3 linked regions of the Lonchura striata genome follow. The protein of the gene in region 3 interacts with the protein of the main gene of each other region in a biochemical or structural test. Links are inferred from orthologs where the notes say so. Each region holds a gene or a part of one and is shown on either strand. Other genes may lie near its edges.

What was found.
Region 1: the proteins of MARCHF6 (region 3) and UBE2J2 form a complex in vitro, tested with the Homo sapiens proteins (2 studies listed by BioGRID, with this or other methods). The link is inferred for Lonchura striata from reciprocal best matches to the Homo sapiens genes MARCHF6 and UBE2J2.
Region 2: the proteins of MARCHF6 (region 3) and UBE2G2 form a complex in vitro, tested with the Homo sapiens proteins (2 studies listed by BioGRID). The link is inferred for Lonchura striata from reciprocal best matches to the Homo sapiens genes MARCHF6 and UBE2G2.

The regions. Positions count from the first base shown.
Region 1 is NC_134626.1:577,463-581,207, reverse strand, and holds the start of UBE2J2 (ubiquitin-conjugating enzyme E2 J2), read right to left. Parts: upstream 2,688-3,745; 5' UTR 2,619-2,687; intron 1,530-2,618; coding exon 1,399-1,529; intron 925-1,398; coding exon 884-924; intron 314-883; coding exon 211-313; intron 1-210. UniProt on the Homo sapiens protein: Catalyzes the covalent attachment of ubiquitin to other proteins. Seems to function in the selective degradation of misfolded membrane proteins from the endoplasmic reticulum (ERAD).
Region 2 is NC_134612.1:5,066,291-5,070,035, forward strand, and holds the start of UBE2G2 (ubiquitin-conjugating enzyme E2 G2), read left to right. Parts: upstream 1-1,325; coding exon 1,326-1,437; intron 1,438-1,523; coding exon 1,524-1,569; intron 1,570-3,745. UniProt on the Homo sapiens protein: Accepts ubiquitin from the E1 complex and catalyzes its covalent attachment to other proteins. In vitro catalyzes 'Lys-48'-linked polyubiquitination. Involved in endoplasmic reticulum-associated degradation (ERAD).
Region 3 is NC_134603.1:71,766,781-71,770,525, reverse strand, and holds the start of MARCHF6 (E3 ubiquitin-protein ligase MARCHF6), read right to left. Parts: upstream 2,213-3,745; 5' UTR 2,136-2,212; coding exon 2,117-2,135; intron 1-2,116. UniProt on the Homo sapiens protein: Endoplasmic reticulum membrane-associated E3 ubiquitin ligase that plays a critical role in mitigating endoplasmic reticulum stress, the regulation of cholesterol and lipid homeostasis, and ferroptosis.

The sequences.
Region 1 (3,745 bases), on a different chromosome or scaffold from region 3:
GGAATTCTGGGAAGGACTCTTTGATTTGGGATGGGAATGGATGGGATGGGAATCGCTGGGATGGGAATGGCTGGGATTCTGGGAAGGACTCTTTGATTTGGGATGGGAATGGATGGGACGGGAATGGCTGGAATTCTGGGAATGAGTCCTTGATTTGGGACGGGAACGGCTGGGATGGGAATGGCTGGAATTCTGGGAATGAGTCCTCACCTCGTGTTGCACTTGAACCTTCCATTGGGGGTGATCATATAAATACTGGGGGGCTTGAACGGGAATTCTCGAGGGAATATTAATTTTCCGTGGTAATATCCACCTGCAAACCAGCCCAAAATGGGTTAAATGAGTTTAATTAAAAAGTCTCATCCCCAATTCCAGGTCCTATCTTCAATTCCCCTGATTTATTCCTTCTCCCAAACTACCCAAAAATGGGTTAAATAAATTACACTTAATTAATAATTAATTCCCATCCCAATTCCCCTTGCTTTATTTCTTCTAAACTACCCATAAAATGGGCTAAATAAATTATATTTAATTAATAATTCCCACCCCAATTCCCAATTTCCCTGCTTTATTTCTTCTTCTACCCAAAAATGGGTCAAATAAATTTGAATCCCATATCACTCAGGACATTTCTGCTGTAAAAATGGGAATTTTTGGTATTATCTTTGTCATAAATTAGAGAATATTTCTGTAAAACATGAAGAAATTTGATATTTGCTTTAACCTAAATTTTATTTTATTAAAGCTCTTAATAAGAGAAAAACGATTGACAGCAGCACCTCAGTTTCTTCACCTCTTCCCCAGTTTTTAGTGGGATTACTTTGCCTTTTCCCACCCTCTGGAATTCCTGAATTTCCATGCCAACCCCCAGGTAGGGATTTACCTTCATATGGGGTCAGCTCAGGCCCTCGCACCACGTAGTGCCTGGAAAAGAGGGGAATGGAACACTGGGAATCCACAGAAACCCAAAAAAATTCAGGATCAGCCTCAGTTTCCCTCCCCGCCTGCCCCAGCTCCAGGAGAGGGAGTCGGAGCTGAAAGCCTGGGAAATTCCTTCTGTCCAGGAGTGAGGAATTCCCCCTGGGAATTCCAGCTGAATTCCAGGAGTGAGGAACAGCCCACCCCAGTTCCAGGAGTGAGGAACAGCCCACCCCAATTCCAGGAGTGAGGAACAGCCCACCCCAATTCCAGGAGTGAGGAACAGCCCACCCCAGTTCCAGGAGTGAGGAACAGCCCACCCCAATTCCCATCCCAGTTCCCAGGGGTGAGACACAATCCACCCCAATTCCAACCCCAATTCCCAGGAGTAAGAAACAGCCCGCCCCAATTCCCACCCCAATTCCCATTCCCAATTCCGAATTCCCACCCCAATTCCCATTCCCATTTCCCAATCTCCACCATTCCAGGATGTTGGAGGGCAAGGGCTCAGCGCAGATGTAAGGCACGGGATCCTTTTTGATCCTCAGGTAATCCTGCTTCAGCCGCTGCGTGGCCGTGGTGGGAGCCCTCTTAGCGCTGCTGCCGCTCATCTGCGCCAATTACACCACAATTAACCCAGCCTGCTAATTAACGGCGGCAACGCCGCCCGGCCAGCGCGGGGCTTCACAAAACCCGCTCTGTGGGCTGGATCTGGGACAGAAACTGAATTATTTGGGTTCTTACAGAGCAACAATCATGGAAAATCTCAATAATTAAATCCCTTGGGATCTTAACATAAATTATTTTATCTATGCAAATTAATTTAGTCATACAAGTTAATTTATATATCAAAAAAGGGGGGGTAAAAGCAGGGGGAAGGGGGGAAGGACTAAAACAGAAAGGAGAAAAAGAGAAAAGGAAAAAGGGAAAGAGGAAGGGAGGGAATGAAAGGGAGAGGAGAAAAGGAGAAAACAAGGAGGAAGAACAAGGGGGAAATGGAGAAAAAAGGGGGAAAGGAGAAAGAAAGGGGGGGAAAGGGAGAGGTAAAGAGGAAGGGGCTGGAAGGAAAAGGGGAAAGAGGGAAAAGGAAAGGAGGGACTCGAAGGAGAGGGGGAGAGGGAGGCAGCCAAGGAAAGGAAGGACTGAACGGTGGAAAAGGGAGGGAAGAAAAAAGAGGGAAAAACGGAGGGAGAAGAAGAACGGCAGAGAGGAGGAAGGGAGACAGGAAGGCAGCCCAGGAAAGGGAGGACTGAAAGGCAGAAGGTGGAAAAGGGAGGGAGGGAAGAAAATGGAAAAACGTTGGGGAAAACAGAACGGCAGACACGATTGGGAGCCAGGAAGGCAGCCGAAGAAAGGAAGGACTGAAAGGCGGAAAAGGGAGGGATGGAAGAGAGAAAAACGGACAGAGAAAGAGAACGGCAGAGAGGAGGAGGGGGATAACAGGAAGACAGCTCCGGAAAGGAAGGACTGAAAGAGAGAAGGGAAAGGGAGGGAATAGGAGGGAAAAACGGAGGGAGAAGCAGAAGGGCAGAAGGAGGAGAGACAGGAAGGCAGCCGAGGAAAGGAAGGACTGAAAGAGAGAAGGGAAAGGAGGGAAAGGGAGGGAGGGAGGGAAGAAGAGCGAAAACAGAGGAAGAAGCGGAAGGGCAGAGAGGAGCTGCGGGGGCCGCGGAGGCAGCCCGCCCGTCCCCCCCGCTCACCTCTCCGCGGCCGCCGGGCCCCGGGCGGCCCCTCCCGGACCGGGGACAGGCGGGGAGCGGCGGCCGGGCCGCGGGGGCGGCGGGGAGCGGCGGCCGCGGCTCCGCGGGGCTCCGTCAGGCCCCGCACGGCTCTGCCAAGATGGCGGCGCGGGCGGCGCTTCCGGGGCCGCTTCCGCTTCCGGGGCCGCTTCCGCTTCCGGGGCCGCTTCCGCTTCCGGGGAGGCGCGGCGGAGCGTGAGGGGAGCCGGGCGCGGGCATGGCGCGGGCCGGGCGCGGACCGGGCGCGGGTATGGCGCGGGTATGGCGCGGGTATGGCGCGGGCCGGGCGCGGGCATGGCGCGGGCCGGGCGCGGGCCGGGCGCGGACATGGCGCGGGTATGGCGCGGGCCGGGCGCGGGCATGGCGCGGACATGGCGCGGGCCGGGCGCGGGCCGGGCGCGGACATGGCGCGGGCCGGGCGCGGGCCGGGCGCGGGCATGGCGCGGGTATGGCGCGGACATGGCGCGGGTATGGCGCGGGCACGGCGCGGGCCGGGCGCGGGCCGGGCGCCGGGGCGCCACACGGCCCCGGCGGGACGGGGCGTCTGGGCACGCAGCTGAGCGAAACGGCGCTCGGGATGCAGAAACTTAAACAGAGTTAACAAGGGATAAAAGGGGCCATACCCAGCGCGGAGGTGCTTGGCAGTTTCTTAAAAGCGCGCCCTGAGCTTAGAATATTTTAAAATATGTTAATATATCTGTAATATATCATGTTAACATAATTCGTATATTTTCTATATTGCGTTAATATGTTTACGATATATTATATATTATATGTATATATTATATATATACATATATATACATATATACATATATACATATATATATGTATATATATATTATGTATATATTATATTAAAGAATCTAATTTGTATTCCAGGGAGCCGTGGCGGAGGGGAGCCGAGGGCTGCGCTCTCCATATCGCGACATAACGCGACCAAAGGCCCAGCGGGAAAGGTGATCCTGGGAGAAACAGGGCTCAGAATGTAAAGAACAGTTTTTAATCGGGATGAAAGGGGCGATACCCATCGCCGAGGTGCTTGGCAATTTGTAAAAGCACGCCCTGAGCTTAAAATAATTGAAAAA
Region 2 (3,745 bases), on a different chromosome or scaffold from region 3:
GACACAATTCCATGTGGCTGCCCACCACAGGGACTGCTGCCAGCTTTTCCAGGGAAGCATCAGAGGGATTTTCTTCTTAGAGAGAACCACAAGATGGAGCAAAATGATTCCAGGAGCTCCTGTGTTTGACATCTCCCTCTTTCTGTCTGAAAACATCAACAAGAAAAGCTATTGGAGACCCACTGTGAAGCTGGAAAAACCTGCCATGGAATGCCAGGACGTGTGGAAAACAGCAAAGCTGAGTTTCAATCTGCTGCTGGGCTTTGGAACTTCAGAGAGGGCTGTGCCAAAGTTAAGGGCACTCTGAGCAAACTAAAGATCTCTCCTGGCAGTGCATCTGAGCATCTTGTTCAAATTTTGCACTAAAGGAGCTGCTGTAAGACACAGATCTGTTCTGTGCAGCACTGCTCATACAGTTTTCACCTACAGCCTGAATAGAAATTAGGTCAAGTGTCTCTGGCTGTGTTCTGTGTGTTACTGGCCACTGGTGTTCCAGAGGCCATTGATTAGGGAACACAGTGCTGGATAAGCAGCTGGGAGTGTCACCTCCTGCCACCAGCTCCAGCAGCTGCCCCATGGCTCACTCAGAGCCTTGGGCTTGGTGTTGAGCCCCCGGGACTGCTGGCACATTGGTTTGCTGTTTGTGGCTGAACTGTGCCTCAGCTGCTGCTGCCTCCCTGCAGAGCATCAGAAACTAGAAACTGATGGTCAGTCCACTAGATAGGAGAAAATCTGGTTGTTATTTTATCAGCACGTGCTGTACTGGCCTTCACCAGCTTCAAGTAAGGGGCTGATGCTGCAGATTGTTTCATGAATTTGGAATTGTATCAGTTTCCTAGCAAAAGTGAGGATTGATGGATCCAAACTTGCCTGTGCAGCCATGGCTGTTTTATTGATGCTTCTTTTTTTTTTTTTTTAACTCATATTTTCCATGCCCTGCAGGAGGTTGGATTGAATTCTCATGTGTTTGCTTCTGTTTTTGTGTTGTTCTGGGTTTTGCACTGGGGTGTATCAAACCTGAATGGTGCAGAGAGGTTACAGGAGTACAAACTTCAGGCTCTTATGCTATGCAGCAGATACCATAGAGGTGCAAGAGAAGAGTGTTTCCCAGGCTTTGTGAAAAGCTTTTGTCTTCCTTCTCAAGTTTAAATTATCGCCTCTGTGAAAACAGTGGGCTCAATGATCCTAGAGGTCTTTTCCAACCTAAACCATTCTGTGATTCCAAGGCTAGTTCTATGAACCTGAAAAACTCCGAAGTGCTAAATAATTTTGTCTAGAACACTGTCCTGCATTAAGCAATGGTGGTGGGGCCCCTGTGCTAAGCCATGGTCACTCAAACACCCCCTGAAATGTTTGGGCTTACAAGTCACCTCAACCTTCCTTGTGTTTCTGTTTTTGCAGAGCTGACCCTGAACCCTCCAGAAGGGATTGTAGCAGGTGAGGAACCAAGCAGGGTTTGTGCACTCTGGAGCTGTGACCTTGGGTTCAGGTAGCACTGAGCATTGTTCTGTTCTGTTTCACAGGTCCCATGAATGAAGAGAACTTTTTTGAATGGGAAGCCCTGATCATGTGAGTTAATACTGTTTGGTGTCTGAAATCAGCAGTTGCTGTGATGAGCTTCTAGGAGAGCAAGAATGTAAAAAAGTACTGACAGTTCTGTGTGACATCAGCATTGGCCTGCCTTCAGTTGGAAACTCCTCTGATCCAAAGAGGGAGTTACATTGGAACTTTAAACAGAGTGACAGAGGCAGCACTGGTGATGTGTACAACTTGTTATGATAACTTCTTGTACAGGTGTCATAATAATAAAATGCTCACAAATTTGTCAGGAATCCTCATTTGGGCTCCCTTGGATATATGTTACATTTACAAACACTGTAGGAAACAAACAGGTGCTTGTAGATCACACATACCTTTTGGAACATTGCCTAACTACAAATGCAGGACAAGTTTTGAGTGGAGCAAAATACACAGGTTATAGGTGAGAGGAAAATGAATTCACTTACTATTCAGTTTTTTTCTTGAAATATTGAAAGGTTCTGATCAGAAGTCAAAATTCTTTTGAAGTTCTTTACACTTCGTTAATCTCATGGTGCTGTCAAGAGTTGTGCAGTGGTTTTATGTAGAAAGAGATTCACTCTTCTGTTGGTGAATAGCTCTGATCCTGACCTGCTGTGTTTTGGGGCTGATGCAAACTCCTTTACTGTGTTCTCTCTCTTCCACTCCCCAGCTGATGGGTGTAGTTGTTGGTAGCAAAATTTGCCATGAAAAGACAAAATCTTTTTGCCCAGCATCTTACAGGTTGTCTTCTCTATTTTGTACTCCTACTCATGCTGTATCTTTTTTGGGAACTTCGAGTACATGGAATAACTGGTGATTTTTACAAAATAAAGTTCTAAAATGTCAGAGGAGAGGGGAAAAGACGTTGATCAGTAGCATCTGACAATTTCTGCAAATACTGCACAATTAAAAGATGAAGCTCCAGACCACTGAGTCCATCTTGAAGCTGGTGGTCTGTTGTTAGGGTAGATCCTGGCTCTGTGTTTCAGGATTCCTTTGGTAAGAATGGGTGATTTCCTCCCCTTCAGCCAGGGCTGGCTTGTCCCAGAGGGCTCTGGGGGCAGCAGGCAGTGGCTGTGGCCCTGCCCTCTCCGTGCCCACTGTGATCAGGGCAGGTTTCCCTGCAACCACCAGTGCTGACTGGTGAGATTCTCAGCTGGCGTGGGTGGCAGAGTTTTCCTAGCTGGGTTTGCTTGGAATGTGTTGTCTAGGGATGAAAAACAAGATTTCTGTCTCTTGGGCTCAGGCATGCAACCAATACAAAAGCTGTAGGGAATTCCCTATTCCACACAAAGTGCTTGTGTGGGTGATCCTGCTGCATGGCAAGTCAGAGCCTCTGAGTTATTTTAGACCTTGGTTAGTGGAGGTTTGGATTAGCACTGTTTGTTTGCTCATTGATGGCAAGAGTTGGCAAATGCCTCTGCTTATGTGCAGTGATTACTCCTGGGATAGCAGGTTGTGCTTCCTGGTAGCTCAGTGCCCTGAAAATAAACACTTAGCATGGAAATGGGTTGTTCTGTTGCCTGACAGCAGAGATTTTGGCTGCAGGGTCTTAGGCTTTCTGTGAGAGGCATAGTCAGCACATCTGCTTCGGAATGGGCCAGATTTCAGGTCAGACAGCTGGGAGTGTGGAAATCCCAGAGGGTTTTATGCACTTCTTGGAGCATGGAAGGAAATTCCTGCTTTTTGGTACTTCTTCCTAGCAGAGGCTGAGTACAGGTTTCCTGAGGGACACTCAGAAGTACTTCTGAATTGCTTAGAAAATACCTTTACTGATGTTTCCTGTCACATCCTTAAAGAGCAGAGGAGCTGCTTTGCAGACTTGAAAGCCCTTTAAAGTGCTGAGTGTTGAGCTTCAGGTCTTTGTCAGCGTAAAATGAGAGGCGGAGGTGCTTTAATTTTGGTTTCTGTATTGTGTGTGTGTCATAATAAAGTTATATTTTAAGATCTGCTCAATTTTGAAGGTGTGATACAATAGAAACATGTTTACCCTAAACACATTGGGTTACTTTCATCTCTTTACAAACCTTGTTAGTAGCAGTGTTTGCAATGCTTTTGGAAAGTAAGTTACATGACTTGTTTGTATTTGTCTGTGGTGGTCTCCTCCAGTGTTTTGTACTCTCAACTGTGCTGTGTGAGATTCAGGGAATGAGGTGTGCAGATGAGAAAATTGGAGTAAAGCTGC
Region 3 (3,745 bases):
TGACACTTTGTAGCAGAAGCTCACGCACACAGTAATATCATATTTCCTCTTCCTCAAGGCACTAGCACATTCTTTGCTGCTGCTGTTCACGGCTTTCTAACCTTGGGAAGTCTCCTCAGCATTCTGGCAAGCTGTGTGCAGTTCTAATAGTAGGATCTGAGGTTTGAAACTGTAGAAGTTGTAACATTCTAGTGGTATTTATGGAAAGTGAGTATATAGACTGTTTACTTTCGTGCTGCCACTGGGAGCTTTTGAGGGCAACATTGATAAGGACACAATAAAATATCTAAGGCTGCATATATATGTGCCTTTGTGTGTGTTTATAGATAAAAACAGAAAAGTCCAATTTTCAAGTGTGGAATTCAACAAATGTGGTTGATTTCATTGATGTAAGTAACTTGGTCTACAGAGCTGCAGCAAGCAACTTTAAATGTTACATTTAAGAAACATTAATATTTTGATAAACCATCAGTGATCATGGGTATTAAATATGTCTACAGCACAACCCAAAAGATACTACTACAAAGGTAGTGTCTCATTTCATCCAGTAGTTTATGTTTTTCCAGCTTTTTTTGTTTAATCCTCTCAAGCAGGAAAACCAAGAGACACCTGATAAAAAGCTACATTCAAAATTATGCCAAAGAAACAAAAGCCAAGATGCAAAATGCTTTCCTTGGAACTGCTTTGCTACTGCAGTATGTATTTACACTCATTGTTTGAGATTACAAACAAAGCTCCAATACTGCAAGAAACATAACACAACTAACATCCTTTATTTAGTTTGGTTTACACTACAATATGAAATGCTGATCTGTCAAAGTTCTACAGTACCTGCTTGAACTACATAGGCCCTCTCTGGAGACAGTCAAAACCCACCTCAACACATTCCTGTGTCACCTGTTCTTGGTCACCCTGCCTTGGCAGGGGAGTTTGAGGAGATGAACTCCAGAGATCCCTTACACCCTTAACAATTCTGTGATTTTGTGATAAACTAAGCATAACAAAAGTGCTGACAAAATATATCCATGTTTGATCTCAAATAAAGCAATACCCTTAAAAAGGGATACTACACATAGAATCCCCCTCATGACTGAGGGGGGGTTTGACAAGTATTATACTTTGACAAGTATTTTTAAGTTAGGTAACTGACTACGTATTAGTCTGTTCTAAAAGAGACAGAGAAACATGTCAGCTGCTCCATATTTCAATTTTCCAAACAGATTGCCCAGCACAAGTAGCAAAGTCAGCTTTGCGAAAGGAGCAGTTATTACTATTCAGCTAAACGCGGAAATGTAAGGCTCCCTGGGCCACAGGGCCGGCCGGGTCCGACAGAGCCCGCTGGCAGGAGGGAGCTGGGGGCAGTGCCCTCCTCGCCGCCTCCCCCGCTGCTCCGGCGTGCGCACCCGGCCTGCTGCTTTCCCTCCCGGGGTCTCATGTCTGCCCGGGCCCCCCTTCCCCAGGCAAAGCCTCAGCCGGCGGAAAGCTCCGGCGGGCCCCGCTGCCCAGGTGCGGGCCCGCTGCCCAGGTGCGGCCCCGGTGCCCAGGTGCGGCCCCGGTGCCCAGGTGCGGCCCCGGTGCTCAGGTACGGCCCCGCTGCCCAGGTGCGGCCCCGGTGCCCAGGTGCGGGCCCGGTGCCCGGGTGCGGCCCTGGTGCCCGGGTGCGGGCCCGGTGCCCGGGTGCGGCCCCGGTGCCCAGGTGCGGCCCCGGTGCTCAGGTACGGCCCCGCTGCCCGGGTGCGGCCCCGCTGCCCAGGTGCGGGCCCGGTGCCCGGGTACGGCCCCGGTGCCCGGGTGCGGGCCCCGCTGCCCGGGTGCGGCCCCGCTGCCCGGGTGCGGCCCGCGGCAGCGCCGCCCCCCGCGGTTATGTAAGGGGCACCGCGCGCCGCCTCGCGCGCTGCGCCCCTGGCCCGGCCCCGCCCCGCGGCGCGGCGGAGGGGCGCGGGGCCCGGGCACCTGCAGCTCCGCTGCGAGACGCCCCTCCGGGCGTGAACAGCCCCAGCCCGCCCAGCGGGCCCGGTGACACCCTCCTTCTCCGCTCCCGCGCCCCTCCACCCTCCGAGGCTGCCCCGGCAGAGCCCCTGCTCGGGGGCAGGCGGTAGCGGGGCGAGCGCCGTACCTTCCTCAGCGGTCTCCATCTTGCCGGGCTGACGCAGCGCCGGCCGGGCGGGTGGCGTGACCGTGGGGGGCGGGGCCGCGCGCCGAGCGGACGGACCGGCCGCGCCGCCGAGCCCGAGAGCGCCGAGCGCGGCCGCGCGGGGACGGAGCGCCGGCCGCCCGCCGCGAGCGCCGCCTGCCGGGCGCGCGGGCAGGGAGGCCCCGCAGCGGGCCGGGCCCGAGTGGGCCGGGCGGGCGCTGCCGCGGGGCTGCCGCTGCTGCGGGGCTGCCGCACTCTCTTCTGCGGAAACACGGGGTCAAAAAAAGACCTCCGAGACCATTGGGTCCAACCTATGAACGAACACCTCCATGTCAACTAGACCATGGCACAAACATACAGCTTTTCCTTAAACACCTCCGGCAACGGTGACTCCACCACCTCCCTGGGCAGCCCGCTCCAAAGCCCAATCACTCTTTCTGTGAAGAAATTCCTCATAACGTCCAATCAGAACCTTTCCTGCTGCATCTTCAGACTATGTCCCCTCTCCTGTCGCTAGCTATCTGGGAAGAAGATGCGATCCCGACCCGGCTACAGCCTCTTTTCCTGTGGTTGCTCAGAGGGATAATGTCCTTCCTGAGCCTCCTTTACGCCAGGCTAAACAACCCCGGCTGCCTCAGCCATTCCACAGGCCCGGTTCCAGACCAGTCACCGGGTTTGCTGTTTCTCTCTGGACACTTTCCAGCACCTCAATCTCCTGAGCTGAGGCACAGAGCTGGACACAGCACTCGAGCTGTGGCCCCATCAATGCTGAATACAGGGGGACAATCAGTGCCCTGGTCCCGCTGGCCACGCTGTTCCTGATCCAAGCCAGGATGCCATTGGCCTCCTGGACACATGCTGGCTCGTGTTCAGCCAGCTGTTGACCAACACCCCCAGGTCCAGTTCCAATGGGCAGCTTTCCCTTCTCCCCGGCCTGTAGCGCTGCCTGGGGTTGTTGTGACCCCGGTCAGGATCCAGCACTTGTCCCCGCAGCCTGCCAGGGCCCGGCCCCGCAGCTCGGCCGGGAGCGGGCGGCGGGGGAAGAGCACGGGAGTCGGACAAAATGTAGCCAAAATCTGCTCTAAGTTCTTCTACTCCAAACCGGAGAGAAACGCTGCATCCCTAGGTGAAGTCAGCCAGATTTTGAGAGGGTCAGTGTTCCAGAGATCAGGGATGTGTAAGCCCTGGAAATAGCCATCCTCCTCAGTGTCAAGCTGTGCTGTTCGTCAAATCTCACCAAGCCTTCCAGAGCCGGGGCTTTCCAACAGTTAATAAACTGCTCAGCAAAGCTCAAACATCTCTCTTAGTTTAATCATTTATGTTTCCATGTCTTGCTGCCTTACCTAGCCAGGGCAGCACGCATTAAAACTTTGTACTCTGCCATGTGCTCTGAGAGCTGTTGCTCATGCCCTGCTGAGTTGGCAGGAATATTGTTAAGGAAGAAAACTATTTAATTTTATTCAGGCTAGAGAGGAATTCCATCCTGATGAAATGTATGTGTGCATTGTTTTAGTGCTCCATTGTGGCAGCTGTTTCAACCCTTCTGGTTGATCAATGAGTCGTAGCAACCCTGAGCTCTCTTTGTGTCCAGCCAGTCATTAAATCCTTTGG